Linked DNA regions of Saccharomyces cerevisiae S288C. The gene in region 3 interacts genetically with the main gene of each other region. Each region holds a gene or a part of one and is shown on either strand. Other genes may lie near its edges.

Region 1 (8,167 bases), on a different chromosome or scaffold from region 3:
TAACAATACCACCAACAACGACAGCAATAACAAGAACAATTCTATCACTACCGGAAATGATAATGAAAATATAGTTAATAATGATTTACCAACGACCGTTGTTTCCAATCCTGGAGATAACCCTCCTCCAGCCGACAACGGTGAAGAATACTTGACATTAAATGATTTCAACGACCTTAATATTGACTGGTCGACCACTGGAGATAATGGCGAATTAGACCTCAGCGGCTTCAATATATAGCTTGGTCTTCCTATTGTTAACTATTGACTTGTAAACCGTGTTGTGCATTCGCTACGTGAATTTAATTGGTATATATATGATAGAATATGTTCTCCAGTTTAAAAATCTGGAATCCTATTCTACTAAAACCTCATTCGTCATGTGAGAGATGCATGCAAAATAGATTTGGTACGTTTATACATATACATACATACACACATACACATTGCATATCTCTATGTCTATGCATAATTTTTGCGCGGTTTATAACGGATCCTTCTTAGAGGAAGACAACCATGACCGTTACATTATCTGTTGTGCCATTTTCCAAAGCATATCTAACCAAGACTTTTGCAGCTTCATTAGGTTCAGTAATATCCTTGATTAATTCGCATGCATCTTGATCATCAATAACATCCCATAATCCATCACACGCTAGGATTAAAAATTTGTCCTCAGAAGTTATTTCTACGCTCGTGGTAAATGGGCTGCCCACTACTAAACTATCAAAAAATTTATCCCCTAACGATCTCGTCACTGCCAGCATACCATTTACACGACTTTTCATTATCAGGCCACCTGCTTGTTCAACTCTCTGCATCTCCAAAGTGTCAGATGCCTTATGATCATAAGTCAGTCTTATGCTGTTCCCGTTTCTAAACAATACTATTCGAGAATCACCAACATTTGCTGTATATAACTTTCTTTGGTGTTGGGCTAAATCCATTGAATCATCAGAAACTGAATCCGGAAGCTCCCAACGTAATACGCAAACAGCAGCAGTACATCCACTATTTCCTACAAGTTTTGTATTAATTTCTTCGTCAATGGCTAGGAATGAATCGTTCAATACATCTCTAACATCTCGTGTTTCATCTGCCAAAATGTTTTGCTCTATAATTGTATGAAGATGTTTACCACACCATTTGGAGGCCTGAATCCCAGCATGTCCATCAAACACCGCGAAATATCCCCAATCTAATCTTGAAGCAAAGTTTTTAACATACGTATGAACATCTTCCATTGTCCTCCGAAATTTCGAGTTTTTATTTTCCGCCACACCTACTCTATAAGTTATGTCATATGGTGTTTCTGGCCTTTCTAAGATTTCAGAATGATTACTCATTATAATGATTTTTAAAAGATAAATGCAGTGCCTAAATGATATATGAAGTAAGAATGTGCAAAATCTCGTATACTCGGTATAGAATGGAATTTAACTCACCTCCTAATTGATAATACTGCCTATTTATTTTCTTTTCAACGACAACAAAAATAAGCGTTCACTTACTTAAACTATCAAAACTTGTTGTGTTTGGGGTCTGTTAATGTAAAGGAATCCGGATAAAAATTTTGAGACAACTTTGAGAGCTGTTTAAGACGAAAAAAAGTGACCTCAAACACACGAATAATAATGTTTAACTAAGCTTTCAATTTGCAAAGGTATACTTTGTCTTTTGAGTTTTAGTTTCCTATAAAATTAGGACAACAAACCCTCTCAGATGTGTTCACCAGTTTTCCTTTGCAGTTAGAATTCGCGAAGGCCCCGACGCCCTACCTATATTAAGTTTTTGAAACAAATATTGCACGTGATACAAAATGTACACATATTAAGCTTTGTTGAAGCATTACTTATATACGTAAATCTATTATAGAAAAATGTAAATGGGCACATCACAAGTATAAACCTTCTAAATTTTCCTCAACTTTATTTTTCATGACTCTCTCCTTGGCTTGTTTAAAATCCTCCGCTGTAACTTGCATTCTTCTCTCTCTAAGGGCTAACAAACCTGCTTCTGTACACATTGCCTGGATATCGGCGCCTGACAAATCATCCTTTGTTGTTACTAAAGTTTCAAGATTAACGTCCTCACTTAAATTCATCTTGGAAGTGTGAATCCCTAAAATTTTTTTCTTAGTACTTAGATCAGGGTTTTCAAATAAGATTTTACGATCAATTCTCCCAGGCCTGATTAATGCTGGGTCAAGAGTCTCGATTTTGTTAGTGGCCATAATCACCTTCACATCCCCTCTGTCGTCGAACCCGTCCAGCTGGTTCAGCAATTCCAGCATGGTTCTCTGAATTTCTCTCTCACCACCACTATTGGAGTCATATCTTTTAGTACCAATGGCGTCTATTTCATCAATAAATACAATACTTGGTGCATTCTCACCCGCTACTTTGAAAATTTGCCTACACAACCTAGGACCATCCCCCAAATATTTTTGAATTAACTCTGAGCCAACAATCCTTAAGAATGTGGCAGATGTTTGATTTGCAACAGCCTTTGCTAGCAATGTCTTACCTGTACCGGGTGCACCATAAAGAATCACACCCTTGGGAGGTTTGATACCCATCTCTTCATACAGTTCGGGGTGTGTTAACGGTAACTCTACAGACTCTTTTATTTCTTGAATTTGAGATTCTAAGCCACCAATATCACTGTATGATTCTGTTGGCGACTTATCCATTTTCATGACCGAAACCATTGGATCGGCGTCATCCTGTAAAACACCTACGATGGACATGGTTTTATGATGCAATAACACAGAACATCCAGGCTCTAGTAACTCTTTATCGACAAAGGATAAGATAGATACATAATAATCAGGCATAGTTGGACTTGTCACTATCGCATGATCATCGTCTATAATTTCTTCAAGGGTCCCAATGCTCAATGGATTTCCACGTATTTCTTCCAATTGTTTCTTTTCCTCCTCCTGCTTCTTTTCAAAGGGTTTTAAAATTTCAGAGTTAGAGACAAATTCTTCTTCTAATAACAAATGGTCTTTAATTCGTTCCATCCTTAGAAGCTTTAACTTACAACGAGTACTTGGATATATGTTGGGTAATTTTTCAGCAGTAGCTGGACCTCCCTTTCTTTTCTTACGACCAAATTTAGATTGAACGGGAGGTTCATATTTGGGTTTCTGATTAGATCCCTTCTTCTTCTTTTTGTCTTGTCCAGATGATACACCTTGTCCCATTTTATTTTCTATTAAAAACGCTGTCTCTTCTTTAACTTGAATTGACTGTAAGCTTGACACTGATACGCATCATATTCACTAATATTCACATTAACCTTCTTTTAGGTAAAAGAAAAGAGACATTTGCCACCGGAGAAAAACCGTTAATAACTCGTTACCCGGAGTGATAAAAATATTGGGAATATAAAAATGACGACAACTGCAGGACTCGAACCTGCGCGGGCAAAGCCCAAAAGATTTCTAATCTTTCGCCTTAACCACTCGGCCAAGTTGCCTTACTAATGATGAATTATTGACTTAAGATATATCCCAAACCTAGGAATATGTAAACCTGCTGGAATATTATTTGTTAGAATAAAAATCAACTATTCTCTCTCAACTAGTAGTCTTACTACGAGTATATTATAATGTACAATGTTAGATGATGACATAAGGTATGAGAAACTGTCATAGAAGTTAGAGGAAGCTGTATTCTGTATACATAATATTATTGCCTTTATTAACAATGGAATTCCAACAATTATCACTTGTTGATAGTTAGAGGTAAAAAATAGTATTAATGAAGAAATAAGTATTGATCTTCTTATACTAAATAAGAGAGGTATATAAAACACACGCCGATTGGTCATATTAATCATGACCAATATAATAGTGATTCCGGTAGTTACTATACATTGATGTGACGACTCATATTCCTCATATATGTACCTACCATATCATGTTCAATTAATAGATCTTTAGCACAGCTTCAGTATTGTCTGAGCTTCTCGTTTAACATTCCTTCTGCAATAGGTGCAATCACACTTAAACGTATACGAGGTGTACATTAATATACGGTGTAAGCATTAGATTGTTACCATAGCAACTCATGTCACTATTAATTACTCTCGTTCCAACATCACTAAATTCCCGTAATTACCACCGCAAAAGAAAAAAGAATACAAGAAATGGAAAACTAGCGCATAATTTTGTTTCTTTCTTTTTCAAAGTTGCAGCCGCTACTATTGATTCGTTTGAAAATAGCACTTGGCGGCTAAACTACCGGCATAGAAAGTGGATCGGGCAAAATTAAAAGGGAAAGAGCGACGGGGTTACGGGACCATTACATAAAAAAAGTATCACAAAATCTATTGTATGCAAAGATATAAACCATCACATTATTGAAATAATATCGTTCTTGATACTTCCATAATCCAAGAAAAATATTTCAAGCACTTTCTTGATGTTCCTTCCTATAATTTTTCACACCATCCTAACCCTCCTGAACTTTGGTAAATATTACTGTTTACCTATTCAAGAAGACGATGATAAATCAGGAAAAGAAATTGAACAAATTTTAGACAATAACATCGAGTCATTAGGACTACTACTAAATTCGATGTCCTTATCCTCGAACTTTACGACAGGCGATCCTGAACTAGATTCGCTCTTCCAAGATGATTTAATCCCCGAGTTATATAGTGTATTAGATGGCTTCTAACACCAAGTATGTGTATTCTAAGGGTATACAAAATAAATACTGCGATACTATTCAATTCTTCAACAGCAGCTTACTAGATGTAAAATTAGTTACTTCAATTTATACTGTCACTTTTGCATATTTTCAATAGAATAAAATTACCGACGTCTGCCTATTTCTTCCATTGATGGATATATTTCTTTCTCTATCTCATTGCTTGTTACAACACCAAAAGTTTTGCTAAGAATGTGTATAGGAAACAAAAGCCAGAAGTCATTTCGTTCCAAGCCTTTAAGCGCCTAATAGTGAACTTTGCACCGCATACGTTAGCTTATGGTATGTGTGGTAATGTGTGAATTGTTTGTGATATGTAAAAAAAAAAAAAAAAAGGCCACGCTCAAGCACACAATGAAATAAAATTTAAATTTCGGGGCCATTCTACCGTTGGTTTTGCTATCTGCCGGAAAGAGGAAGTCCACAAGTGCCAAAAACTGTCAGTTACATTTTAAAAATAATCGAAATTTATTTTCTTTTGCTATCTCGGTTAAATATTGATGTGTGATTTGGCATAGTTGGCCATTGTCTTATGATTTCTGATTCTACGACGTTCCAATTTTTTATAATCAGTTCAATAATAATAATACATCGATCGGTCGGTCATATTCTTTTCTTTCTTTTTCTGTCAAGGCGTTACTGACGCGACACACAAGCGGCAGGTATAGTGACGTTTTCCGTTGAATGAAGTAATTCTAATGAACCTACGGTTCTCAATAGCATTGGCAGAGGCAGCTGATAAATGTACAGTAGTTTTTACCAGGAAATCCAGCGAGTATTACACATCCGTAGACGCGCTATGTTTTTCCTCAGGTTATCTTTCAGTAATGCTTGAGATCTCTAAAGGAAGTATACACAGTAATAGTGTGACCCAAAAGTTGTTAAAATTTCCGGAGGTAGCCATTATATACCAATTTTTGTATAAATTTACAGGATTAGAAGGTACCTAAAAAACTATAACATGTCAAGAAAGGCCTCTGAGAAGTGAAACAATACTTCCAAGCACAAATATATATTAATAGAATAATGACTGCTTGGTAGTTGAGAGATTACATGTATTGCATAGTGACTGAAAAAATTTAGTATAATTGCTATGTTGCTAGCACAGTGTTAGAATAGGGGCAGATCATTTGTATCATATAATGGGGTATGGAGAACAGGTACCAATTGGGCATATTGAATATTTCGAATATGATGTTATCTCCAAGAATGTACATCATGTCCATTGTGACATTTCATGGTTTTATATATGGGGTTTCTGCATTTTTCAACAAACATCTCTTTTATAAGCTTTGCGCTAGTTATGGTATTTATTTTTCAAATTAATAACTTACAAATAAACAAAACTTTCTCAACTAAATATTTATTTCTTCCCTGTAGACTGTAAAAATTTCGGAAGCAAAAATAAACCTCCCTGAATGTTAAAGGTGATTATTAGGTGAATAATTTGATAATTGTTGCAATTCCACTGTTTGTAAATTCTATAGTATTATGTATACAGAATACAGCTTCCTTTAACTTCGACGACAATTTCTCATAACCTTATGTCATCATCTAATACCGTACATGATAACACACTATAAGAATTGAGAAACAGTCATCAGATGAGATGGAAGCTGCAAATGCAAGCATTGAAAATATAATAAATAACGAATGATAACAAAAAATGTGGGGAAGAAAAAACAACATTACCATGTATGATTCTTGCTTCCCTCTTGTAGTATCCTCTATCTTGTAAGAGACGTTGTGATATACTGAATACCCAGTAATATTCCCGCTATCTAGAATGAAAATTGTTGGAATTGAACTCTAATATCATCTATTTAATATTATATTATCACATGCGGTGTAAGAAGATGACATAAAGATTGAGAAACAGTCATCCGATCTAATGGAAGCTGAAATGCAAGGATTGATAATGTAATAGGATAATGAATGACAACGCATAAAAGGAAAGAAGATAAAATAATAACATTATGTAGAACTATCGATTCCCTTTTGTGGATTCCTATATCCTCGAGGAGAACTTCTAGTATATTCTGTATACCAATATTATAGCCTTTAGCAACAATGGAATCCCAACAATTATCTAACAACTCACATATTTCTCAAAAATAACACAATTTTATGAAAGTTCACATAATTGAGTTAGAGCTTGAAATACTCTAACTTACAATCAAATGAACACAAATCAGAAGCTTCTATGGCCAAGTTGGTAAGGCGCCACACTAGTAATGTGGAGATCATCGGTTCAAATCCGATTGGAAGCATATTTTTATGTATTCTAAGTATGCAACGATACCGCTGTCATCGTTAGCATGATTAGTACACTGTTGTTCTTTTTCAATCTAACAACCTTAACTTCAGTTCCGGCTACAGTACATCTATTCAACGATTGGAAAAGAAAATTTTTTTATCTTTAGCTGCAACAAGAAAAAATCAATATTAAATTTTCATTTAAGTATACAGAATGTTAACAGCGTTCACAAGAAAAGAACCGTATGGAAATATAGCTAATTGTGATTTCTAAGTTTCTTTTTTATCGTAACAAAAAGTCTTCGTCCAGGATGGTATCAACTTGCTGTCTACCGATTGGGTTATCGGTGTTTTGCCTTATTGGTTCATCAAAGTCCACAAACTCTTCTGCGACGCCCTCCTCTATCATTTCTTCTCTTCTTCTTGAAACTATTTCAACGAACTTTTGGACATGAGCGTCATTAATTGCTAGACCCTTCTGTAGCTGGAAAGTTTGCCTACACATCGGACACAGTCCTTTTGAGGTTGGTGTATCAAGCCAACGGTATATACAATGATCATGGAAGTTATGATGACATAGCCCAATCACTAAAGGGCATTGATCGCCTGGAAATTTACAGCTTGGACAGGTACCGTTATAACTGGCACGACAGATACCACAGACATCCTCGTCTTCATCATTGCCAATTGGATCGTTATTGGCTGCGTCCTCATCAGATGTGCTAGGGATGTGCCATGACCAAGCAAACACACTGTGCACTTCGTTTATTTTAACTTTCATATTTTTATAATCTGTATTGCCACTTTGCTTGTTAAACTCTCCCGATATTGTACAAAGTTTTTGAAGAATGCATTATTTTTTTATCTGCAGACACGGAAGATACAAAAGTTATCTCGGCAGCTTACCCTTTATATCGAATGCAGGCGTAGACAAAAGTGCGTTGCATAACTTACCAAGGTGAAGTGCATGGACCAGCAAAGGATAGAAGTTATTGTAAACATCGAAACCATAAACTTATATATGTATATATGAAGGCATTAAGCGTTTTATGTTTTCACAACCCTTTTAAGAGATGTCTTGGACAAAAAAGCTTCTTCGTTGGTGATAGCTTCTTTATTCCAACTCCGAAACGCCTTGTGCTAGGAAAACTACGCCTTTCCAACTACACTGCATTTCACGACCTAATCAT
Region 2 (8,786 bases), on a different chromosome or scaffold from region 3:
TGGCCACATTTCATAATTTAAAAAGAAGCTCTAGCAACTCTTCAAGCAATAAAAATGGTCATCAAAGCGAGGAGGATATCAAAGACCAGGAAAGCATCGAGTCAAAAAAGTCTGTTTCCCAAATTTCTGTAAATCCTGGAAAGAATACAGACAAGCCAGCAGCCAACTTATGGAATTCATGGAAGGAATATTTCAATAAACCAAAGAATACTGCTAATGAAGATGTTACTGAATCCACAGAAGATCTCAAAAACAGAAGTAAAACATCGAACGCGATACAGAAAGCTATGATGGGCTTGGGTTTACATTATAAACCTGATGCGGAGACAGATCAACAAAGTGAAGAGGTGGGAAATAGTGAGGACAATGAAGATGATGATACTGATGAGGACTCTGAGGATGATGATGATGATGGTGGTGATGACGATGATAGTGAGGACGATGACGATGACGATGACGGTGAGGGCGATGAAAATGGCGATGACGGTGAGGGCGATGAAAATGGCGATGACGGTGAGGGCGATGAAAATGGCGATAAGGAAGACAGTCAAGATTTTAGCAATGGTTTTACAGACGTTACGAACATTAACACTGATCATGATAAAGAAAATGAACAGAATTTTGAGGGTAATGCAGAAAATTTTAATGAGGACGAAACCGTTGCAGATAAAGATATTGAAGGTGGTCCTGAGAGCAATAAAAATTCCGACAGTAAAACTGATATTTATGAAAACGATAGAAATGTTGAAGACTCATCTAAAACGAGAAATACAGTTAAAAAATCCAATGAGGAGGGCGGTGCGAATGACGCTGCTATAGGTAATTGTGTGCAGGATGAGGAAAAATTATGATATCTATACTATTTGTTAGCAATCGCGCTAAGATATGTTTATATGACAAAAAGAAAATCAAGAAACAGAGCCCTCCAGTTGTGAAAGTTGCAGGGGAAAAAATATCCGTGAATCTCAATACCTTTAGTCGTATTGGGATAATAGCTGAATAATAATTTATAGAAAACTGGGGTGACCTCCACAAGCACAATAAGATTCAGAAATTATAGAATATAGCTTTTTGGGGCTTTCCAAAAATGGAATAGAAAATTTTTTGAAGTTATTCTATTTGCATAGACGCTCATCAAACTATGTTTAAAGATTAACTTCATAGTAATCTTTTGAATGCTTTTTAGCTTCCTAAAGATGAATAACGTAGAAAGTTGAAATATTTAGAAACAATCGCAGTATCCTTGCTAGACCCTCTTTAATATTAATAGTAATCTTGCAAACAATAAAGATAAGTAAAGTTAACGATAAAAGCATCATTTTCAACAAAACTGAAGGGTAGCGACATAATTGTCGGAGCAAAAAAATCTTCCCCGCCAGGACTTGAACCTGGAATCTTCTGGTTCGTAGCCAGACGCCGTGACCATTGGGCCACGAGGAACAAGATTTATTGTTTTTGTTTTATTACGGGCTCGAGTAATACCGGAGTGTCTTGACAATCCTAATATAAACAGTCTTAGGGAAGTTACCAGTTGTCAAAACGGTTTATCAGATTAACTCACGGATGTTACTTATCTTATATATTATATAAAATATGAATCATACTAAGTGGTGGAAGCGCGGAATCTCGGATCTAAACTAATTGTTCAGGCATTTATACTTTTGGGTAGTTCAGCTAGGGAAGGACGGGTTTTGTCTCATGTTGTTCGTTTTGTTATAAGGTTGTTTCATATGTGTTTTATGAACGTTTAGGATGACGTATTGTCATACTGACGTATCTCATTTTGAGATACAACAGTTTTCTATTTTTGAATCTTAGTGTTTTATGCTACGATGTAAGAATTGATAATGTAATGGAATATATGAGCTGCTGTACAAAGCGAAAGAAGAAATAGTGCTATGATTAAGTAAAATTATTGATACCTTTTGCAGAGTCTTATCTTCTTGAGGACTACTCGTAGGTTATTCTGTATACTTATAACCTCTAATAACGCTAAGAAATTGTCTCCATATCAACCTATTTCTCAAAACTCAATAAACTAAGATCCGTAGTTCTGTATAGTACTGAAAGTGTTCCTATTTTGGTGTCGTATGTTGCCATTCATTATTTTTAATAAATGCATTCCCACATCCACGAAATTGAAGACTTTTTGAAATTTGTTCTATTAGACATATGGTTTATATCTTCACTGTTTATAATAAATAGCTCCGTTAGAATTAATGAATGAGAGCATAAATACAAAAAATAGAAAAGATTTTGATATTACATAGAGCTGCTGATTCCTTTTATGAGTTCCTAATTTCTTAAGGAGAAGTTTCTGCCACAGTCCGTGAATGTAATAGTTATCTTCAACAAGAATGAGATTGCAAAAGACTAAATGTGGTAAGTATACGCTTGTCTGGGTGAGACAGCTATTTAGCAAGTTCTCTTTTTCTGCTTCAACTGTTCTATTTTCTGTATTTACTTTTTTTTTATATTTTCTCCGTATTTATGAAAATTCCTCTTCGGTAAAAGCACAGAATTAGACTTGAAATGTAAACAATATAAGACAGACAAACCTTTATCGAAGATAGAAGTGCTGATAAACAAACAATACGCCATAAGTGACGGTTCTTGGAGTCTTAAAAAGGTCTTTCTTGACTTTTTAGTTTCCTTTTTCTTCCAGTTTTACAAGAAAATCCAATGCGGTTAAAACAGAAAAAAATCATGATCGAAATACGTCCACTTTACTTTGTAATTGAGTTTTATCTTTTTTTTTTTGTTTCCTCTATACAACTATATACGTAAATACTTTTATGAGTACCATAAAAAAAAGAAACATCAAAAAGAAGTAAGAATGAGTGGTTAGGGACATTAAAAAAACACGTTTACTGTTGGAACTCATTAGCGTACTGTATGGCCTGGTTACCGTAGTCCGTAATGGTGTCATTTGCAGCTACATGATCGCTGACTTTGTTTCCACCAGCTATATCTGAGTGATCATTTCCAGTAGTGCCAGCGCCATTATGCGAATGCGCAGCCATGTTTAACTGAACTTGAGCCTGAGCCTGAGCCTGTGCCTGCGCCGCGGCAGCGGTGGCTGCAGCAACTTGGTCATCAAACGTGGCAGATATATCAATCTGTCCATCACTGCCACCAATCTTATGGAAGTCTAGGATTTCTGAGTACATCATAACACGCCAGGTATCGACAGGCAGATCAGCGTCATTAAAGTGCCAATCGAACTTGGCATCGGCTACTGGTTCATCCGTTGGATCGTGGTAAGGAGCCGAATAAGGATGAGCCAAGGCATCCGCCGCAGTGATTCTCTTCTTAGGATCAAAAACCAGCATTTTTTCCAAAAGGTCTACGGCATCAGGTTCGACTGTTTTAAATCTTTCAGAAAATGGAATTGGATCTCTGTGTGGTAACGAAGTAACAAATTTTAGAGTATTTTCGGAACAAATAGTATTTATCACATCCTTTGGCGGAGATCCCAACAAGTCAGTGATGATCGAAAATTGGTGAACATGATCTTTCCCAGGGAACAAAGGCTTACCTTCAATCATTTCGGCAAAAATACAACCAGCGGACCAAATGTCGACCTCGACGTCATATTTTTGCCACGTTAGCATGATTTCAGGTGCCCTGTAGTATCTAGTGGAAACATAGCCTGTCATTTGAGGGTCTTGAATTCTTGCTAGACCGAAATCGCAAATCTTCAAATCACAGTTTTCATTAATCAGAATGTTGCTCGGTTTCAAATCTCTATGAATGACGCCCGCGGAGTGAACGTATTTTAAACCCCTTAGAATTTGGTATAGGAAATACTGAACAAATTGCTTTTCCAAGGGTCTTGTTTGCAAGAGTCTATGTAAATCTGTTCCTTGTAATTCCGTGACAAAATATATATCTTCCAATGGAGAAAGAAATATGTCCTGAAGGCAAATCAAGTTCTCGTGTCTTAGATGTTTTAGTAGTTTTAGTTCACGATATGTCCTTTTGGCCAGCACTGCAGTGGAAAAAGGTTTCATGATTTTCTTAATGGCAACTGGCTGAGATGTCAAAGTGTCCGTGGCTGAGCAAACCAACCCAAATGCCCCCATCCCAACGGGGTTTAAATCATTGTATCTATTTGTGATCTCGAAAACTGTACCGAATATCTGTGTCCTAATGAATTCCTCGTTAGTGGTCATTATTATATACGATAGTTGTAGTTTTCCCTGTTTTCCCTTTGTTCCTTTTTTTCGAGTCTAGTATTTACCAATATAGAAGAAAGAGAAAATAAATAAGGTTTCTTGTTAGAGATTAGTTACTTTTGCTATTATTATCGCAAATTCCTCTTCCACTATACAAACAAGAAAGTAATTACTACTCTTATTGTAAGATAGTATGATAATTTCGACGATAGATAATATTTGCTTTTCGTTGGCCTTTTCTTTTTTTTTTTCCTTCCTTCCCTTCGAAGATCCTCCCGTATAATAACGCCGCCAGACCATGTAGGGTAACCAGAGAATACGCCCACTCCGCTTTCGCATGTGGCACTCCTGTATGTCAAAATGCCGAATAATCTCCATCCATGACGAAGCGCTTTGAGGTGTTTAATTATATACAGGGCAAAGTCTTGGAGATAAAGAACGCTTTCCTAACAACTTGCGCTATTCCTCTTATTTCCTTCAATCGATTAAAATTAACTTTTAATCGACATTGTCTTTTAAACCAGGGCAAAGCAAAATAAAAGAAACTTAATACGTTATGCCGTAATGAAGGGCTACCAAAAACGATAATCTCAACTGTAAACAGGTACAATGCGGACCCTTTTGCCACAAAACATACATCATTCATTGCCGGAAAAAGAAAGAAGTGAAGACAGCAGTGCAGCCAGCCATGTTGCGCCAATCTAATTATAGATGCTGGTGCCCTGAGGATGTATCTGGAGCCAGCCATGGCATCATGCGCTACCGCCGGATGTAAAATCCGACACGCAAAAGAAAACCTTCGAGGTTGCGCACTTCGCCCACCCATGAACCACACGGTTAGTCCAAAAGGGGCAGTTCAGATTCCAGATGCGGGAATTAGCTTGCTGCCACCCTCACCTCACTAACGCTGCGGTGTGCGGATACTTCATGCTATTTATAGACGCGCGTGTCGGAATCAGCACGCGCAAGAACCAAATGGGAAAATCGGAATGGGTCCAGAACTGCTTTGAGTGCTGGCTATTGGCGTCTGATTTCCGTTTTGGGAATCCTTTGCCGCGCGCCCCTCTCAAAACTCCGCACAAGTCCCAGAAAGCGGGAAAGAAATAAAACGCCACCAAAAAAAAAAAAATAAAAGCCAATCCTCGAAGCGTGGGTGGTAGGCCCTGGATTATCCCGTACAAGTATTTCTCAGGAGTAAAAAAACCGTTTGTTTTGGAATTCCCCATTTCGCGGCCACCTACGCCGCTATCTTTGCAACAACTATCTGCGATAACTCAGCAAATTTTGCATATTCGTGTTGCAGTATTGCGATAATGGGAGTCTTACTTCCAACATAACGGCAGAAAGAAATGTGAGAAAATTTTGCATCCTTTGCCTCCGTTCAAGTATATAAAGTCGGCATGCTTGATAATCTTTCTTTCCATCCTACATTGTTCTAATTATTCTTATTCTCCTTTATTCTTTCCTAACATACCAAGAAATTAATCTTCTGTCATTCGCTTAAACACTATATCAATAATGCAATTTTCTACTGTCGCTTCTATCGCCGCTGTCGCCGCTGTCGCTTCTGCCGCTGCTAACGTTACCACTGCTACTGTCAGCCAAGAATCTACCACTTTGGTCACCATCACTTCTTGTGAAGACCACGTCTGTTCTGAAACTGTCTCCCCAGCTTTGGTTTCCACCGCTACCGTCACCGTCGATGACGTTATCACTCAATACACCACCTGGTGCCCATTGACCACTGAAGCCCCAAAGAACGGTACTTCTACTGCTGCTCCAGTTACCTCTACTGAAGCTCCAAAGAACACCACCTCTGCTGCTCCAACTCACTCTGTCACCTCTTACACTGGTGCTGCTGCTAAGGCTTTGCCAGCTGCTGGTGCTTTGTTGGCTGGTGCCGCTGCTTTGTTGTTGTAAACTTAGTTTATTATTATTTATACATTCTAAATTTTTTATAAACTTTTTTGGCATTTAACAAATATATAACAATTGGGATTTAGTAGAAATTCTTTTAATTTCTTCTTTTTTTTTTTAATCTATATTTATTCTTTTTCTTTAATTTTGTTCGAAACGCATATAATGTTTTTATTGATTTTGTTTCAGGTTCCTGAACCTCGCGGAGTTCCTATTTTACTGTTGTTTTTTTTCAAAACACAGGGGTACCTTGAAGTATACGCAGTGCCTCTTAGCCAAGGATAATATAAACACACTAGAACAAAAAAAAAATACTCCTTGTACAGAATCGTTTTCTATTTTGAATTTTTTTTATATAAACATGGTTTTATTGTCTATTACATAGCATCTACAAATGAGCCAAGACACTTTCGACTGAGGAAACGGTCACATCGGTACCTGGGTTGGTTTCCTTGGCAGCGTAAGTAACGATACCGTTTTCAACAACCATGGCCCATCTACCACTCCAGTAAACACCGTCACCGACGGCTAATTCGAAACCAATGGATTTGGTGAAAGCACAGCCTGGGTCGGAGGCAAACTTGATGTGTGTGGTGTCCTTAACACCTAAACTCTTAGCCCACGCTTGGTTAGCGAACGGGTTGTCAACAGTAACAACGATCACTTGGTCAACTTCCTTTTCCTTAACTAATTCATCCAAGTAGTTGATGTAACCTGGAATATGGCTGACAGTACAGGTTGGGGAGAAAGCAGCTGGAGCACCGGTAATGATAACCTTCTTGTTTTCAGAAATTAATTTGGACCATTCAACTGTTTGTGGCATCTTACAAGATTCACTGTCAGCATCACTTTGGCTGATAGCAATGTATTGGAATTTGTAGTCGCCAGCTGGGAATTTCTTGTTAACTAAGTCAGACATGTTTTGTTGTGGTTATTGGTAGTACTTGTGTTGTTCTGGTTTGTTGAAATTTCGTTATAAAGAAACGGTATATGCACAATTGGCAAGGGAGAGGAAATTGTGCTCCTTTATATAATGTTTCGTTTATGCTTTTCCCTTACATCTCGTCCTTAATTTTCCACCCCTTTATTTTTCATTTAACCTCTCAACAATATGTGAATACCGTCCGGAAGGGGTGTGGAAAAAGAAAAAGAATGATACAGAAGAAAATCAAAAGATGATATTCAACTTCATCACCAAATACTGACCTTTTTGGCCAGAGCTCCCCGTATAATTACAAATCAGAAAAAATCCGCGCTCACTACCTTAACGGAAGGAAATATTCCACATGTCGGATTAATTTTTCTCTGGTCCCATGACCATGTGCCGAAATCTTTTCAGTGACGTCAGGACCGGTTTTTCCGAGAGCCCCACAGGGGACGCCGATGATTTAGGGTTCTTTTCTTGATTACTAATAGACAACATAAGCGCAATAGATCGAGGCCAAGGTGGTGGTTTATAAATTGTATTACCTTAAAGGCTCATTATTAGCTTGAACACGAATATCCAAAGAACACGAACAACTTCAGGACGTGGATAGACAAGTGTAAAGTCACTCACACGCACGCTCATATCAGATGTCTGGCCAAAAGGGCGAGATCGTGGTTTATACAAAAGAGTTAGAAACTACCCCCGAGCTTTTACCAAACCATGAAGTTTTCAAGATTAGGATTGGCCAAAAGCTATTTGAGATCTCAGGTGCTACATTGAATTCGGATGCGCCCAATTTTTTCACCCAATTCTTCAATACGCACGATAAAAATACGATTCTATTTGTTGATAGATCGGAAGACGTGTTCATCATAATATACAGACATTTACAAGGTTATTTTCCCGATATTAAGAACGAAGTACAATTTACCTGTCTTTTCGCGGACGCATTATATTTTCAGTTACCCAAGTTAGTTAAACTCATAAAAGAATACGACTACCACTTCACTAATATTGGAGGTGTTCCCTTTAAGGTACCAAAATCATTATTCCATGAAGAAGGGAACCGGTTGAACTATTTTGAAACGATTTCTCGCATATCTTATGAGGAAATTGAGAAGTGGGAGTCAAATAAGAAGCCGGGCTTTCCACCTTTATTACCACCCTCATATATTGCAAGGTCCCCAGAATTTTTCCGAGATATATTATCTTTACTGGGCGGTTCCAAATTAGAACTGTCTGAGGAAAGAACCGCATCTCTGATAAAAGAGTGTCGTTATTACCGTCTCAACAGGTTGGAGCAGGAATTAGTGCGGGCAAAAATTATATATAATCCCTTAACTAATTGTCAAGAAGTTTGCATAGCTCTTGATAGCGTCTCCAAGAAGGGTGTAACCATTGAAAGGTTAACATCACTTCATACCGGAAACCAATCTTTAGCGGTAAGCAGTTGTCTCAATGGAACTGAGGGTGAAAAAGCCGCTACTGGATTTCATAAAACCGAGACTGATTCAGGCAACAATGATGAATATGAACCTCCAACAAAAAAGGTAAAACATTGTATTGAAAGACACTGGAGCATGTTAAAATACCAAAGGCCTTATATCGATACAGTTTCGCACGATCTTATTTTCCAATTACACTCTAACCAGTGCAAAATAATATTCAACAAAAAGAATAAGACTGTTCATGTAGACCTATCCAGAGAGGCTGCAGTGTTGTTTGAAAACAAGTTCTCGGATGTTTTATTGGAAAACCCAGAT
Region 3 (9,952 bases):
ACACGGTATTGGAAGGATGATAATCTTCAGGATCTATCTTCCTCTAAGCTGGAAAGTGATACCGATATGCTATATTGGCATAAAAAATTGGAACTCGCATCATCCGGCTTAACTAAAATGGGCATTGGTAGATTATCTACAATGCTTACTACCAATGCAATTTTAAAGGAGCTAGATAACATTCTGGAGTCTACTCAACTAAAAAACCATGAACTGATCAAAGACCTTGTTAGCAATACAGCCATTAACGTTCTAAACAGTAAATACTATTCAACGGCTGATCAAGTTGAGAACTGTATCAAACCCTTCAAGTATGAAATTGATTTGGAAGAAAGAGACTGGAGCCTTGCTCGTCAACATTCCATTAATTTAATAAAGGAAGAATTACGTCAATGTAACTCAAGGTACCAGGCAATCAAAAATGCCGTTGGCAGTAAGAAATTAGCAAATGTAATGGGCTATTTAGAAAATGAATCAAATTTGCAAAAAGAAACACTCGGCATGTCCAAATTACTATTGGAAAGAGGCTCTGAAGCTATTTTCCTGGATAAAAGGTGCAAAGTGTTATCGTTCAGATTAAAAATGTTGAAAAACAAATGTCATTCGACAATTGAGAAGGATCGTTGTCCAGAGGTATTTCTATCTGCAGTTAGTGATAAATTGACCTCCACAGCTGTTTTATTCCTTAACGTTGAATTATTAAGCGATTTTTTTTATAACTTCCCTATTGAATTAGACAGAAGGTTAACATTGTTGGGAGATGAACAAGTGGAAATGTTTGCTAAGGAAGATCCGAAGATTTCAAGGCATATTGAATTGCAAAAGAGAAAGGAGCTGTTAGAATTAGCCTTGGAGAAAATAGATTCAATCTTGGTTTTCAAGAAAAGCTACAAGGGCGTCTCCAAAAATTTATGATGTAAAATAAATAGTGTCATTAGAGAATTTGTAAATAGCATTTTTTACCGTTATATAATTACTAGGGTGTATTTTTCTGAAAAAATAAAGGCATACCCTTCATCTAAGCTCTTTCTTATAGTATACAAGTCTCTTATATCGCACGATGTAACATCTACATACTTCCTTTATCGTCTTGAAGAGTAAACAAAAGATATATATATATTATTTTCTATTATTTTGGAAGAGAATGGTATTCCTACAGTATGCAGAGACACATCTGGTTGTCGTGTAGTTCTTTTAGTGTGTGAGAATAAATGGTTATCGTTTCTATATTCATGACCGCTCTCATCTTTTTTTTTTCATCCATCAAGGAAAAGAAAAGTTCAAAAACAGCCATATTGAGGAACACTTAATCTCTTTTTTCTAATGGGTTGTATCTTAAAAACTTTTCAATAAGATCGACGTGGGTTAGAATCATTCTTCTACAGCAGTATCTTTTTAGACCTAATCTTGACAATGCAGTACCTTCATCCAACTCATCTTCTTGCAACAAGTTTAAGTAGCTTTCCCACTTGTCACCAACAACTTTACCGCATGAGAAACATCTGACTGGGACAATCATTTTGTATTATTATTTTGCTTATTGAGGTTTACGTTCTACACTCTACAGTTTGAATACACTTTAACTATCATCCCATTGTGATTTTATTCAATGTTTCTTTTTTTTTTTCTTATGAAATTTTTTTTACCAAATACAACGAGTGAGAAATTACTTTTCGTTCAACGTGATCTTTGTGTTCTCAATTGCTGACACTTCCAGTGTAGTAGCCATCGGAGTGCTGATAGTAGCTTATTTTGGGCTTAAAAACCTCAAGAATATGAAAAGATTTATCAGGTCTGCTTTTGCATATATGAACCCTTCATCTTACTTTTTTACGTTGTAAATTCGTCAAAATATCAACAAAAATGGCTGCTGCGCCTGGGTGAAAAATTCGTCAGATCCGTTCTTATAAGACTGGAAAAACTCGCAAATGAAAGAATTGTTGTCTTTGACTAACCAAAATGACGAGCCTTTCAACAGTTATCGAAACGTAAATTGGATCCCATCAGTTTTTTTGTTTCAATTCGTCACTGTAAGGAAACAAACGGTAGATAATATTTTAGAAGAAAGGTGGATTTAGCCTTTTGTACCTATTTTCGCCAAGCAAGATAACCATGTCAGAACCAGTGATAAAGTCTCTTTTGGACACAGACATGTACAAGATTACGATGCATGCTGCTGTCTTCACTAATTTTCCAGATGTTACAGTTACTTATAAATATACCAACAGGTCGTCCCAATTGACCTTCAATAAGGAAGCCATTAATTGGTTGAAAGAGCAATTTTCGTATTTGGGAAATTTGAGGTTCACAGAAGAGGAAATTGAATACTTAAAACAGGAAATCCCATATTTGCCATCGGCATATATTAAGTATATTAGCAGTTCTAATTACAAACTACACCCTGAAGAGCAGATTTCCTTCACTTCAGAAGAAATCGAGGGCAAGCCCACCCACTACAAATTGAAAATTTTAGTCAGTGGTAGTTGGAAGGATACTATCCTTTATGAGATCCCCTTACTGTCCCTAATATCAGAAGCGTATTTTAAATTTGTTGACATCGACTGGGACTACGAAAACCAATTAGAACAAGCTGAGAAGAAGGCGGAAACTTTGTTTGATAATGGTATTAGATTCAGTGAATTTGGTACAAGACGTCGTAGATCTCTGAAGGCTCAAGATCTAATTATGCAAGGAATCATGAAAGCTGTGAACGGTAACCCAGACAGAAACAAATCGCTATTATTAGGCACATCAAATATTTTATTTGCCAAGAAATATGGAGTCAAGCCAATCGGTACTGTGGCTCACGAGTGGGTTATGGGAGTCGCTTCTATTAGTGAAGATTATTTGCATGCCAATAAAAATGCAATGGATTGTTGGATCAATACTTTTGGTGCAAAAAATGCTGGTTTAGCATTAACGGATACTTTTGGAACTGATGACTTTTTAAAATCATTCCGTCCACCATATTCTGATGCTTACGTCGGTGTTAGACAAGATTCTGGAGACCCAGTTGAGTATACCAAAAAGATTTCCCACCATTACCATGACGTGTTGAAATTGCCTAAATTCTCGAAGATTATCTGTTATTCCGATTCTTTGAACGTCGAAAAGGCAATAACTTACTCCCATGCAGCTAAAGAGAATGGAATGCTAGCCACATTCGGTATTGGCACAAACTTTACTAATGATTTTCGTAAGAAGTCAGAACCCCAGGTTAAAAGTGAGCCGTTAAACATCGTTATCAAACTATTAGAAGTAAATGGTAATCACGCTATCAAAATTTCTGATAACTTAGGTAAAAATATGGGAGATCCTGCCACTGTGAAGAGAGTGAAAGAGGAATTGGGATATACTGAACGAAGTTGGAGTGGTGATAACGAAGCGCACAGATGGACCTAATTATTCAGTTATGGGTACTGACATCTCTGCGATTTTATAAATATGACATATAGATATGCAGCTGATATCGCAAAAATAAAACATTATATGAAGTTGCGAGTACGTAAAAAAACCCGTGTTTCTTTATGAGGAGATTGTTAATTGTAGATTTATTTTTTTTTATTTTTAATGTATCTATATAATGAAATAAAATGCAACGAGAGGTTATGTAATTTATCAAAACGAAAAGTGTTTGTATAATAGGAGAAAAACAATTCTATTAACAAGGTAACGCGTTCTTTATCTGCTTTTGCAGGGCAAAATAATTTAATAATGCCTCATAACAAGCGATATATTGAGTTAGATTCTGTACCATTGAAATCCTTTGCTTTCTTAATTCATTCACTATGATAAAGATAAGGTCCTGAGTCATATTCCAAACATCAATCTTGTTTGAGTGATTTGTTGTAGGTGAAAGAATACTTAGTAGGAAATCCAAGGTAACGAAAACACCTGTTCTTCCACACCCTGCAGAACAATGGACTAATAGTGGCGATGAATTTGCTGTATCGAGATGTAACTCACTATTATTATCATCTATCAAATCAGGCTTGCAAACATCCTTTTCGAGGCTTGTAATAAAACTTTGCGGGTTAAACAATAACGAATTTTTGACTTTGTGTAGTTTAATGATGTCATTCATATCTACGCCGCATGAATCTAACCAATTCTTGTATTGTAATTGGTAAACAATAAACGGCTCGGATACAGCCATGGTAATGGAAGTAAGGTCACCATTATGCGGAAGGTCACAATCTTGACTGATATTATCATTTTGTGGAGCTGTTTTCTTGACTTGAAAGACTCTGAGAACACAGCCATTAATATTGCAAATATTCTCCCAGGTGTTCTGAAGTTTGATAGTGTGGTTGGAATATGACAGATTATTCCAGTAAATATCCCATTTTCTTAAATTCAATTCATCGTCAGAATTCAATGATATTATTACTTTAACTTTATTTAAAGTAATAACCTTCCAAAAATCATCCATCGTAGAAGGAAGCGGAGCTTGGGTAGCAATATACTTGAAATCAGGATTAATTTGCGTGAGCTTCAAATAGTTCGCATTGATATAGTCGTTCGGTTTGCAGGAGTGGTTTTTTGCATCTACGGGACACATCGGATATGACTTATCTGTTTTAGTTTCGGTTGTGGATGCTTCAGAAACTGCAGGTGGTTTCGGGGAGTGAGGTAACTTTACTCTTGAATGTTCGTAAGGTAAGATATTAGAATATCTATTCTTAGTAAAAGACTGAATTCCTTCAGTAAGTTCGTAATCATTTATTGGTGACATTATAGTATCATCGGAAGATAATGGTGATGGCGAAGAAGATGTGTTGTTTTTTGGTATAATTAATTTTAGCTTTTGATTTTTCTGTATGTTGCTTTTCAAAGAACTTTTATACTGTCGTTGCAAACTAGTTAAAGAATATAATTTTGAATCATCCGTGGATTGCGGACCCCTCTGCTTTTGTGATAGCTGCTTTTGATGTAAAGGCTTTTTCTTGAATTTCAGGCATTTCTCTAATCTTTGCATTTCAAAATTTTCTAAAGTTTCAAAATTGTTAAAGAGTTTCTTTAATATTACCTTTTCATTTTCTTTTACGGAGCAGAATTTTAGCCAATTCGGTAAAATCGTGTCGTTAGGTGCTAAGTCAGCAGGCATATTGAATTGGAAAAACTTTTGCAAAGAATTAGGAGAATAATGAATTAGATCCTTTTTCAGAGACTGTAAAAATATTTTATTTGAATCATTGGGTGGAGGTATGTTTATTCTTAAATTTAAAGTTGACCTTGAAGTTAAGTTTACATTCAAGTTCAAATCCAATTTGGGCAAGATGCAATTTTTCTTATTTTTTCCTAATGAGGGGGCCTTGCTATCATTCAGAGAGCCTTCGAGAAGAAAGAATTTCAAATAAGGAGATGGAAAAAAATGGCAGATGAACTTTTTAAACTTCTCAATGAGGCAAAAAGTTGTCTTTAAACAACTCGAAATTCTGCTAAACGAATCACTGAAAATGAAAATATCATAATCTTTGATGATCTTTGTGAACTCAATATACTTTTCATCAGATCCAAGGTAATTCTTTAGTAAGTTCTCGAACGGGTAGTTCGACCTTTTCACCAAAGTGCTGGGTAGCGGCAACGATAAAACTGTGATATCCTTAGCATTGGTATTGCCTAAAAATGAGTTGGTATTGGGGCCAGCGCACAGATCTAGTAAAAGTATTTTAGAATGCCTATTAGAGTTGTTCCGCCGTATGTTAACGTCGTCCAAATCTTTGCACGGTTTAATTTGATTTTGGGGAAGGTTAGACAGATTTATAGTTTCACCTCTATAGACGGGCATTTGACCAGGTGTTCTAGTTTGATTGACTTGTATGTGGCCCTTTTCCGATATAGCGGAAGAAGCCATTCTATTGCCGTTATTGTCTCTTTTGCCATTACGATATTGCTGTGCTATGCGATCCATCAATAGCAACGTCGATCCTATTTTATTGTAAACTATTAATAGCACTGGGGATCGGACCTAGGCTTCCAAACTAAGCGAAAAGGGCTGTGCAAAGCGGAAGAGGGGAACCAGGGGAATCGGGTCTGTCAGGTTGAGTGATCTCGTCTTTCTTGTCAAAGGTCGCAGCGCGGTGTTCAAAGAAAGATGATGATTCAAAGTTGGCACTTCCCAAAGGTTTTAATAGGTGCATTATTTTTATATATTCCTTATTGTTAGGTGTACTACACATAAAGATATAAATAGTTCCATAAAGCAGGCGCGTATTTTCCAGATCACGTCGGACGAAATTGTAATTGTGAGATGAGCTGAAAATTTTTCGATCTATGCTTAAGTGATGATATATGGACAAGTTAGGAAAGAATTAAAGGGAGTTTAAAGTGTTGATAATTGAGCGTTTTAATCGCTAGGGACTTAGTGCTTGTTGAAAAATGGTTGCTGCGACAAAAAGACGGAAAACTCATATACATAAGCATGTGAAAGACGAGGCTTTTGATGATTTATTGAAACCAGTATATAAAGGTAAGAAACTAACTGATGAAATCAATACTGCTCAGGATAAGTGGCACCTTTTACCAGCATTCTTGAAGGTTAAAGGTTTGGTGAAGCAACATCTTGACTCATTTAACTACTTCGTTGATACAGATTTAAAAAAAATTATAAAGGCAAATCAATTAATTTTGAGTGATGTTGATCCAGAATTCTACCTGAAGTACGTCGATATTAGAGTGGGTAAGAAGTCCTCTTCTTCGACAAAAGATTATTTGACTCCGCCTCATGAGTGTAGGCTTAGAGATATGACATACTCTGCACCAATCTACGTGGATATAGAATACACTAGAGGTAGAAACATTATTATGCATAAAGACGTGGAAATTGGTAGGATGCCGATCATGCTGAGATCTAATAAATGTATCCTATATGATGCTGATGAATCGAAAATGGCTAAATTAAACGAGTGTCCGTTGGATCCTGGTGGTTACTTTATTGTTAACGGTACCGAAAAAGTAATTCTTGTTCAAGAACAATTATCCAAGAATCGTATTATTGTGGAGGCAGATGAGAAGAAAGGCATTGTTCAGGCCTCCGTTACTTCATCTACCCATGAAAGAAAATCTAAGACTTATGTCATTACCAAAAATGGCAAGATCTATTTGAAGCACAATTCCATCGCTGAAGAAATTCCTATTGCTATTGTTCTCAAAGCCTGTGGTATTTTATCAGATTTAGAAATTATGCAATTGGTTTGCGGTAATGATAGTAGCTACCAAGATATTTTTGCAGTCAATTTGGAAGAATCTTCGAAATTAGATATTTACACACAACAGCAAGCTTTAGAGTATATTGGTGCAAAAGTAAAGACAATGAGAAGGCAAAAACTGACTATCCTGCAAGAGGGTATAGAGGCCATTGCTACCACGGTTATTGCACATTTGACTGTGGAAGCCCTTGACTTTAGAGAAAAGGCTTTATATATTGCCATGATGACGCGCAGGGTGGTGATGGCAATGTATAACCCTAAGATGATTGATGATAGAGATTATGTTGGTAATAAACGTCTTGAATTAGCAGGCCAATTGATTTCTTTATTGTTCGAAGATTTGTTCAAAAAGTTTAATAATGATTTTAAACTAAGCATTGATAAGGTCTTGAAAAAACCAAATAGGGCTATGGAATACGATGCATTATTGTCAATTAACGTCCATTCAAATAACATCACCAGCGGACTGAACAGAGCTATCTCAACCGGTAATTGGTCTCTTAAAAGATTTAAGATGGAAAGAGCGGGTGTTACACATGTTCTTTCCAGACTATCTTATATTTCCGCATTGGGTATGATGACAAGAATTTCTTCTCAGTTTGAAAAATCAAGAAAAGTTTCCGGTCCAAGAGCATTACAACCTTCTCAATTTGGTATGCTTTGTACTGCAGATACTCCAGAAGGTGAGGCGTGTGGTCTAGTGAAAAATTTAGCATTAATGACTCATATTACTACAGATGACGAAGAGGAACCTATAAAGAAATTATGTTATGTTCTTGGTGTAGAAGACATAACATTGATTGACAGTGCATCCTTGCATTTAAACTATGGTGTTTATTTGAATGGTACTTTAATTGGTTCAATCAGATTCCCAACAAAATTCGTTACTCAGTTCAGACATCTGAGAAGAACAGGTAAAGTGTCGGAGTTTATCTCAATTTATTCAAATTCTCACCAAATGGCAGTTCATATTGCAACAGATGGTGGTAGAATTTGTAGGCCATTAATCATTGTTTCTGATGGTCAATCTCGCGTGAAAGATATTCATTTACGCAAATTATTAGATGGTGAGTTAGATTTCGATGATTTTTTGAAACTCGGATTGGTGGAATATTTAGATGTCAATGAAGAAAACGATTCTTACATTGCATTGTATGAAAAAGATATAGTTCCCTCGATGACACATTTAGAAATCGAGCCATTCACAATTTTAGGTGCTGTTGCTGGTTTAATTCCATATCCACATCATAACCAATCCCCTCGTAACACATATCAATGTGCGATGGGTAAGCAAGCGATTGGTGCAATCGCCTACAATCAATTCAAGAGAATAGATACATTATTATACTTGATGACTTATCCACAACAGCCAATGGTGAAAACCAAAACAATTGAATTGATCGATTATGATAAATTACCTGCTGGTCAAAATGCTACGGTTGCTGTCATGTCCTATTCTGGTTATGATATTGAAGATGCTTTGGTTTTGAATAAGTCATCCATCGATAGAGGTTTCGGCCGTTGCGAAACACGTAGAAAGACAACCACTGTTTTGAAAAGATATGCGAACCATACCCAAGATATCATCGGTGGTATGAGAGTTGATGAAAATGGAGATCCTATCTGGCAACATCAATCTCTTGGTCCTGATGGTCTAGGTGAGGTGGGTATGAAGGTCCAAAGTGGACAAATTTATATAAATAAGTCAGTTCCAACTAACTCAGCAGACGCCCCAAACCCAAACAACGTAAACGTCCAAACTCAATATAGGGAAGCTCCGGTAATATATAGAGGTCCAGAACCTTCTCACATTGACCAAGTTATGATGTCTGTTTCGGATAACGATCAAGCTTTAATCAAAGTTTTGCTAAGACAAAACAGAAGGCCAGAATTAGGTGACAAATTTTCTTCTAGACATGGTCAAAAAGGTGTTTGTGGTATTATTGTAAAGCAAGAAGACATGCCCTTCAACGATCAAGGTATAGTTCCAGACATTATCATGAACCCTCACGGTTTTCCATCTCGTATGACTGTGGGTAAAATGATCGAACTGATATCGGGTAAAGCTGGTGTATTGAATGGTACATTGGAATATGGTACTTGTTTTGGTGGTTCTAAACTTGAAGATATGTCTAAGATTTTGGTAGACCAAGGTTTCAACTATTCCGGTAAGGATATGTTATATTCAGGTATAACAGGTGAGTGTTTACAGGCTTACATCTTTTTTGGCCCCATTTACTATCAAAAGTTAAAGCATATGGTCTTAGATAAGATGCATGCAAGAGCTCGTGGTCCAAGGGCTGTTTTGACACGTCAACCAACTGAGGGTAGATCTAGAGATGGTGGTCTGAGGTTGGGTGAGATGGAGAGGGATTGTGTAATCGCGTATGGTGCTTCACAATTGCTGTTAGAAAGGTTGATGATTAGTTCAGATGCTTTTGAAGTTGATGTCTGCGATAAATGTGGATTAATGGGCTATAGTGGTTGGTGTACTACCTGCAAAAGTGCTGAGAATATTATTAAGATGACTATTCCATATGCAGCAAAACTGTTATTCCAGGAATTATTATCCATGAACATAGCCCCAAGATTAAGATTGGAAGATATCTTCCAGCAGTAAGAAATCATATATCTTGTACTAAATTTTGCGTTATGTTAGCAATCATATCTATTTCGTGAGGAACTTTAAGAGAGTTGAACGATTTCGAAAATTATATAACAGTAAACCGTACTTCTTTCAT
Region 4 (4,003 bases), on a different chromosome or scaffold from region 3:
GAACTTATACCTAAAAGCATCTTCAGGCTGAGGATTAAAAAAGGAATATGAGTGAACTTGAAGCCACAATTAGGCAAGCCAAAGAAGCCCTGGCTGAAAATAATGCCAAAAAGGCGCTCAAAATATTGAAGCCGTTCAAAAGTTCACTGAAAAAAGAAAACGCAAACAATGTAATACTGAATGAAGTGTTTGCCGATGCATACCTGGATAATGGACAGGTAGAGAAAGCCTACCCAATTTTAGCGCGTGCTTGCGAATTAGATCCTGAGGGACAAGTTGGCGGACCGGACAAATTTTTTACCATGGGTCAAATCATGGGTGGACAGGATGGTGTATCGATAATAACTCGCGGAATAATGAACATCTCTAATACTGGAGGTGAAATGTTAACCAACGTTCAGGTTGAAAAGATTGTAGGTGGACTGCTTTCTGTGATTGAAATTTGGATGACGGATTTATGTATGGAGCCAAATGCAGAAGAGCAGTGTGAGGAGTTAATACAAAAGGCGATGGAACTCACAGAGGGAAAATCTCCTGAAACATGGTCTACCCTGGGTTCTATCAAAATCTCGCAACAAAAATTTGGAGAAGCTTATGAAGCATTCTCACAAGCCTGGAATTTCTTTGAGTTGAAAAAACAAGAAATTGGTAGCGGTATAAATGAAAATGGTGACACAACTCAGAAAGCTGGTTTACAGTCAGAGTATGTAGATCTTTTACAACCTCTTTTATCTTTAACAAAGATGTGCCTCGAAGTGGGAGCTTACGAAGTCGCATTGAAAGTTATTGCCGCAGTAAGAGATATAGATGAGGATAACATAGAGGGTTATTATCTAGAGGGTTTTACTTATTATTTAATGAGTAAATTAGAAATTTTCAAGTTGAACAATCCCGAAGTAAGCCTGCGTCCGGAAAATATATACGAGTTTAACCAACTCATTCAAGAAGTTCCTTTGGATTTATCCCACGAACCAATCTCCCAGTTAATCTATGACTCAAGATTAGCGCTAAGTTTTGCATTGCAAGCAGGTGTCAATGCTGACAGCAAAGATGAAATTGTGCAAGAATTATTGGGCGGTGCTAATGCTTTACTCCAAGAAATTGGTGGTCCTCTAGATCCAAGTGAGTTAACACAAATCAAGAAGGGTGATTTAGTGAATGAGAATGAAGACTTGGAAGAGTTGGACATAGAGGAAGAATATTCTGACTAATAGTCTTCTAATTTAACATATGCATAAGTACATACACTGATATATATGTATATATCCGTAAGAAACGGAAATTATGACATAGAACAGATGGAAGAAGATTCGGCCAGGCATACCGCCAGGGTGGTGACCTCTTTATCTGTTTTTAGTGAGTATTTTACTGTCATAACCAATTGGAATTTGTATTCAATCCGATATATCTAATTTTGTTTTCATATCTGCTTCGACCTCCGCAACATCATCAATATCTTCCCATTCATCGTTGTCGTCGTATTCATCTTCGTTAGTGTTATCAATATTGTTTTTAGGACTAACGCTCTGTGTAATCAAATGTGTCAAATAGAAAGGTCGAGCCTTATTCTCCACCTCGTTCTCACCATCTTCCGGCTGTATATAAGAGACAAACTCCTCCGGTACCAACCCTGTTTTTGATCCTGACTCATTTTCTGCTACTAGCCAACCTTGCCCATGCTTGTAACTGATAAATACGATGTCACCCTCAGCCAATCTCAATTCATTATCATTTTCGGGTTCGAAATCGTAGAGGGCAACAGCACGTTGGTTAACTATGTAGTCGTCTGGTAGTGTTATACTTTGTCTTTTATTGTATGTGTCTTCTCCATTTGAAGAATCTGAAACCATTTCATCCTCCTCATTGTCTCCATCAAAATAACCATAATGGAGAGGATTCGAATCTGCGTACGCATAATCTTTGATTGATATATAACCTATTGTGGTTGTTTCTGTATCTTCCATTGTGTCACTATTTCCTGCCTGCACTGCCTCCACCTCTCTCCCGTTCTGTAATACTGCCTCATTGAGAACACCTATAGTTTTTTTGAGACCAGATTTCAAAATATTGGTATCTTTTTGTGTGGTCGTTTCCATCGTTGCCATCGTAGATTCAATAAATATGTCAGTGGAAGTTAAAGTAAGGTAAAGTTGAGAAAAATACTTAAAATTTGTTAGTATCTATCACGTTTTATTGGTAGCTGTTATTATGTGTGATTGAGCGTGTTGTTACTGTGCACTGTGTTGCATTGTCCATTACAAGCTACTTCTGAAGTGAATTCTCCATTTCTCGCAACTGGAAAAATAAGTTGGTGTGACTAAAAATAATAGTCTATCTCTTCACGAAAAGGAAATAGGAATGACAAAGCTCCAAAAGGCTCCATAAAGAACTTGCTCAGAGGCTGGCATTTGAAAGGGCTACAAGACCATGACCACATCACACAGACCACAGTTAGAAGCAAGAAGCGGTGCAAAAGCGGCCGCTTATACACCAACAGGCATCGAGCATGCCAGATTACTACCAGGACATACAACATTAAAATACAGGAAATTTAAAGAGGAGGAAAATCTTAGAGCAAACTGTGCGCAAGAAGATAGGAGCAACGATAAATCTTTAGAGGAGGCAGTAATGAACGAAGAGAAACAGGATGTTGTGGGGAGTGGGAACCTCCAAGAAACCCGCAGTGAGAAAGACCAAAAAGACTCGTTGCAAGAGCTGCTGGTTACTCAAAAAAATAAAGTGGAAGATAAAGCAGAGCTTGAAGGAAATGAACAATTAAAGGGAGGAAATTCGTCTAGGCGATCGTGGAGAAAGGGCACGGCGTTTGGACGCCATAAAGTAACCAAAGAGACAAATATTAAGGAACATGCAACAAAAAAATCAGCGTCCGGATACATTAACGATATGACAAAATCTGAATATCATCAAGAATTTCTCCATAAGCATGTTAGATAGTACATAGGAACGATACATAAATAGTACGTTTATATCTTTTTTTTTTGACAAGAGCAAGTGATTTTTTTTATCACTGTCTTCTTTAAGGGATCATTTATCATGGTGAGATTTTCTTTTCAAGAACCTCGAGAATTTGCTACGTTTCTTCTCTTTTTCGGGTGGTTCTGACTTGAGAGAACCTGCTGCTTTGGGACTAGAAGTACCAGACTTAGGACTATTGTCTTGGCTTTTTAAATGAACATGAGAGACTGGTTGTGCCACCGGTTTCATTTCCCTTAGAAGGAAATCAGGCGGGTTTACTTGCTGGCGCTGATCTTCCTTGAATTTGAAAAATTCTCTAGGATTTTGTAAACGTTCCACTTCATCTAAGAATTTTGTTGGTGTTAATATCTCGTCGCTGCCAATAAAGATATCTCTGTTCTTCAAGTTTGATTGATCATAAGCAGCTTTAATTTCGGGAATTGATATACCACCAATAACATAGTAGAAGAATCTTTGTCTAGGTATGTTTTTTTTTATATTAGAGCTTTTCGTGGTCCAAGCTGCCTTGTGACGGGGATTCCTTAAGGATGAGGAGGAGTTAGCAGAGGTATTCGCTAAGCCTGCTTGGAATTCTTCTTCATTCAATAACTCAATTGGCTTGTCCTTTAAATATGGGAAGTATTGTTCGCTCAATAACAATGGATTCGCTATAACCTTTGAAAGAATATTCCCTACAGCGGGAACGAACCTTGAAGTGTGATAGATATTTGGATCATTCACTAAAGTATCATGAAACCATTCCTTTTGAAATGGTTTATCCTTCGGTTTGTCTTTGATCAATTTGAAATCAATTAAATCGTAATTTCTGAATATTTTTAAATATTGCTGGAAATTTTCATGTTCATGAGTAACTCCTATAAAGTTCAATAATTTAATGAAGTCTAACTCGATAATTCCACCTCTGAAAAGAGCATACGCAATAATGTAACGCAATTTATCTAAGATTGTCGGTTCCTTCATTGCTAACGCTGGTAAGAGATCATCGATAATATGCTTTATCTTCTCA

Evidence for each region.
Region 1: mutations in PTP2 (region 3) and PTC1 together harm fitness more than expected from each alone (negative genetic interaction), as found in Saccharomyces cerevisiae (8 studies listed by BioGRID, with this or other methods).
Region 2: of PTP2 (region 3) and HOG1, a mutation in one rescues a mutant of the other (synthetic rescue), as found in Saccharomyces cerevisiae (4 studies listed by BioGRID, with this or other methods).
Region 4: mutations in PTP2 (region 3) and NBP2 together harm fitness more than expected from each alone (negative genetic interaction), as found in Saccharomyces cerevisiae (5 studies listed by BioGRID, with this or other methods).

What each region holds. Positions count from the first base shown.
Region 1 is NC_001136.10:433,088-441,254, reverse strand, and holds PTC1 (type 2C protein phosphatase PTC1), read right to left. Parts: upstream 1,347-8,167; coding exon 501-1,346; downstream 1-500. Other genes in the region: MED2 (Med2p), read left to right, coding at 1-241; proteasome regulatory particle base subunit RPT2, read right to left, coding at 1,895-3,208; YDL007C-A (uncharacterized protein), read left to right, coding at 4,431-4,688; APC11 (anaphase promoting complex subunit 11), read right to left, coding at 7,261-7,758; YDL009C (uncharacterized protein), read left to right, coding at 8,007-8,167. UniProt on the Saccharomyces cerevisiae protein: Serine and threonine phosphatase. Involved in tRNA splicing and cell separation.
Region 2 is NC_001144.5:367,009-375,794, reverse strand, and holds HOG1 (mitogen-activated protein kinase HOG1), read right to left. Parts: upstream 4,176-8,786; coding exon 2,868-4,175; downstream 1-2,867. Other genes in the region: AVL9 (Avl9p), read left to right, coding at 1-851; YLR112W (uncharacterized protein), read right to left, coding at 4,585-5,004; YLR111W (uncharacterized protein), read right to left, coding at 5,072-5,404; CCW12 (Ccw12p), read left to right, coding at 5,697-6,098; thioredoxin peroxidase AHP1, read right to left, coding at 6,484-7,014; YLR108C (uncharacterized protein), read left to right, coding at 7,671-8,786. UniProt on the Saccharomyces cerevisiae protein: Proline-directed serine/threonine-protein kinase involved in a signal transduction pathway that is activated by changes in the osmolarity of the extracellular environment.
Region 3 is NC_001147.6:729,887-739,838, reverse strand, and holds PTP2 (tyrosine protein phosphatase PTP2), read right to left. Parts: upstream 5,915-9,952; coding exon 3,662-5,914; downstream 1-3,661. Other genes in the region: dynamin-related GTPase MGM1, read left to right, coding at 1-915; DNA-directed RNA polymerase core subunit RPB10, read right to left, coding at 1,307-1,519; NPT1 (nicotinate phosphoribosyltransferase), read left to right, coding at 2,113-3,402; DNA-directed RNA polymerase III core subunit RET1, read left to right, coding at 6,382-9,831. UniProt on the Saccharomyces cerevisiae protein: Major phosphatase responsible with PTP3 for tyrosine dephosphorylation of MAP kinase HOG1 to inactivate its activity. May also be involved in the regulation of MAP kinase FUS3. May be implicated in the ubiquitin-mediated protein degradation.
Region 4 is NC_001136.10:778,996-782,998, forward strand, and holds NBP2 (adaptor protein NBP2), read right to left. Parts: upstream 2,106-4,003; coding exon 1,395-2,105; downstream 1-1,394. Other genes in the region: ACL4 (Acl4p), read left to right, coding at 48-1,211; U2-type spliceosomal complex subunit CWC15, read left to right, coding at 2,428-2,955; SEC1 (Sec1p), read right to left, coding at 3,046-4,003. UniProt on the Saccharomyces cerevisiae protein: Negatively regulates the high-osmolarity glycerol (HOG) pathway through its negative regulation of the HOG1 kinase activity. Mediates the binding between the PTC1 phosphatase and the PBS2 MAP/ERK kinase (MEK).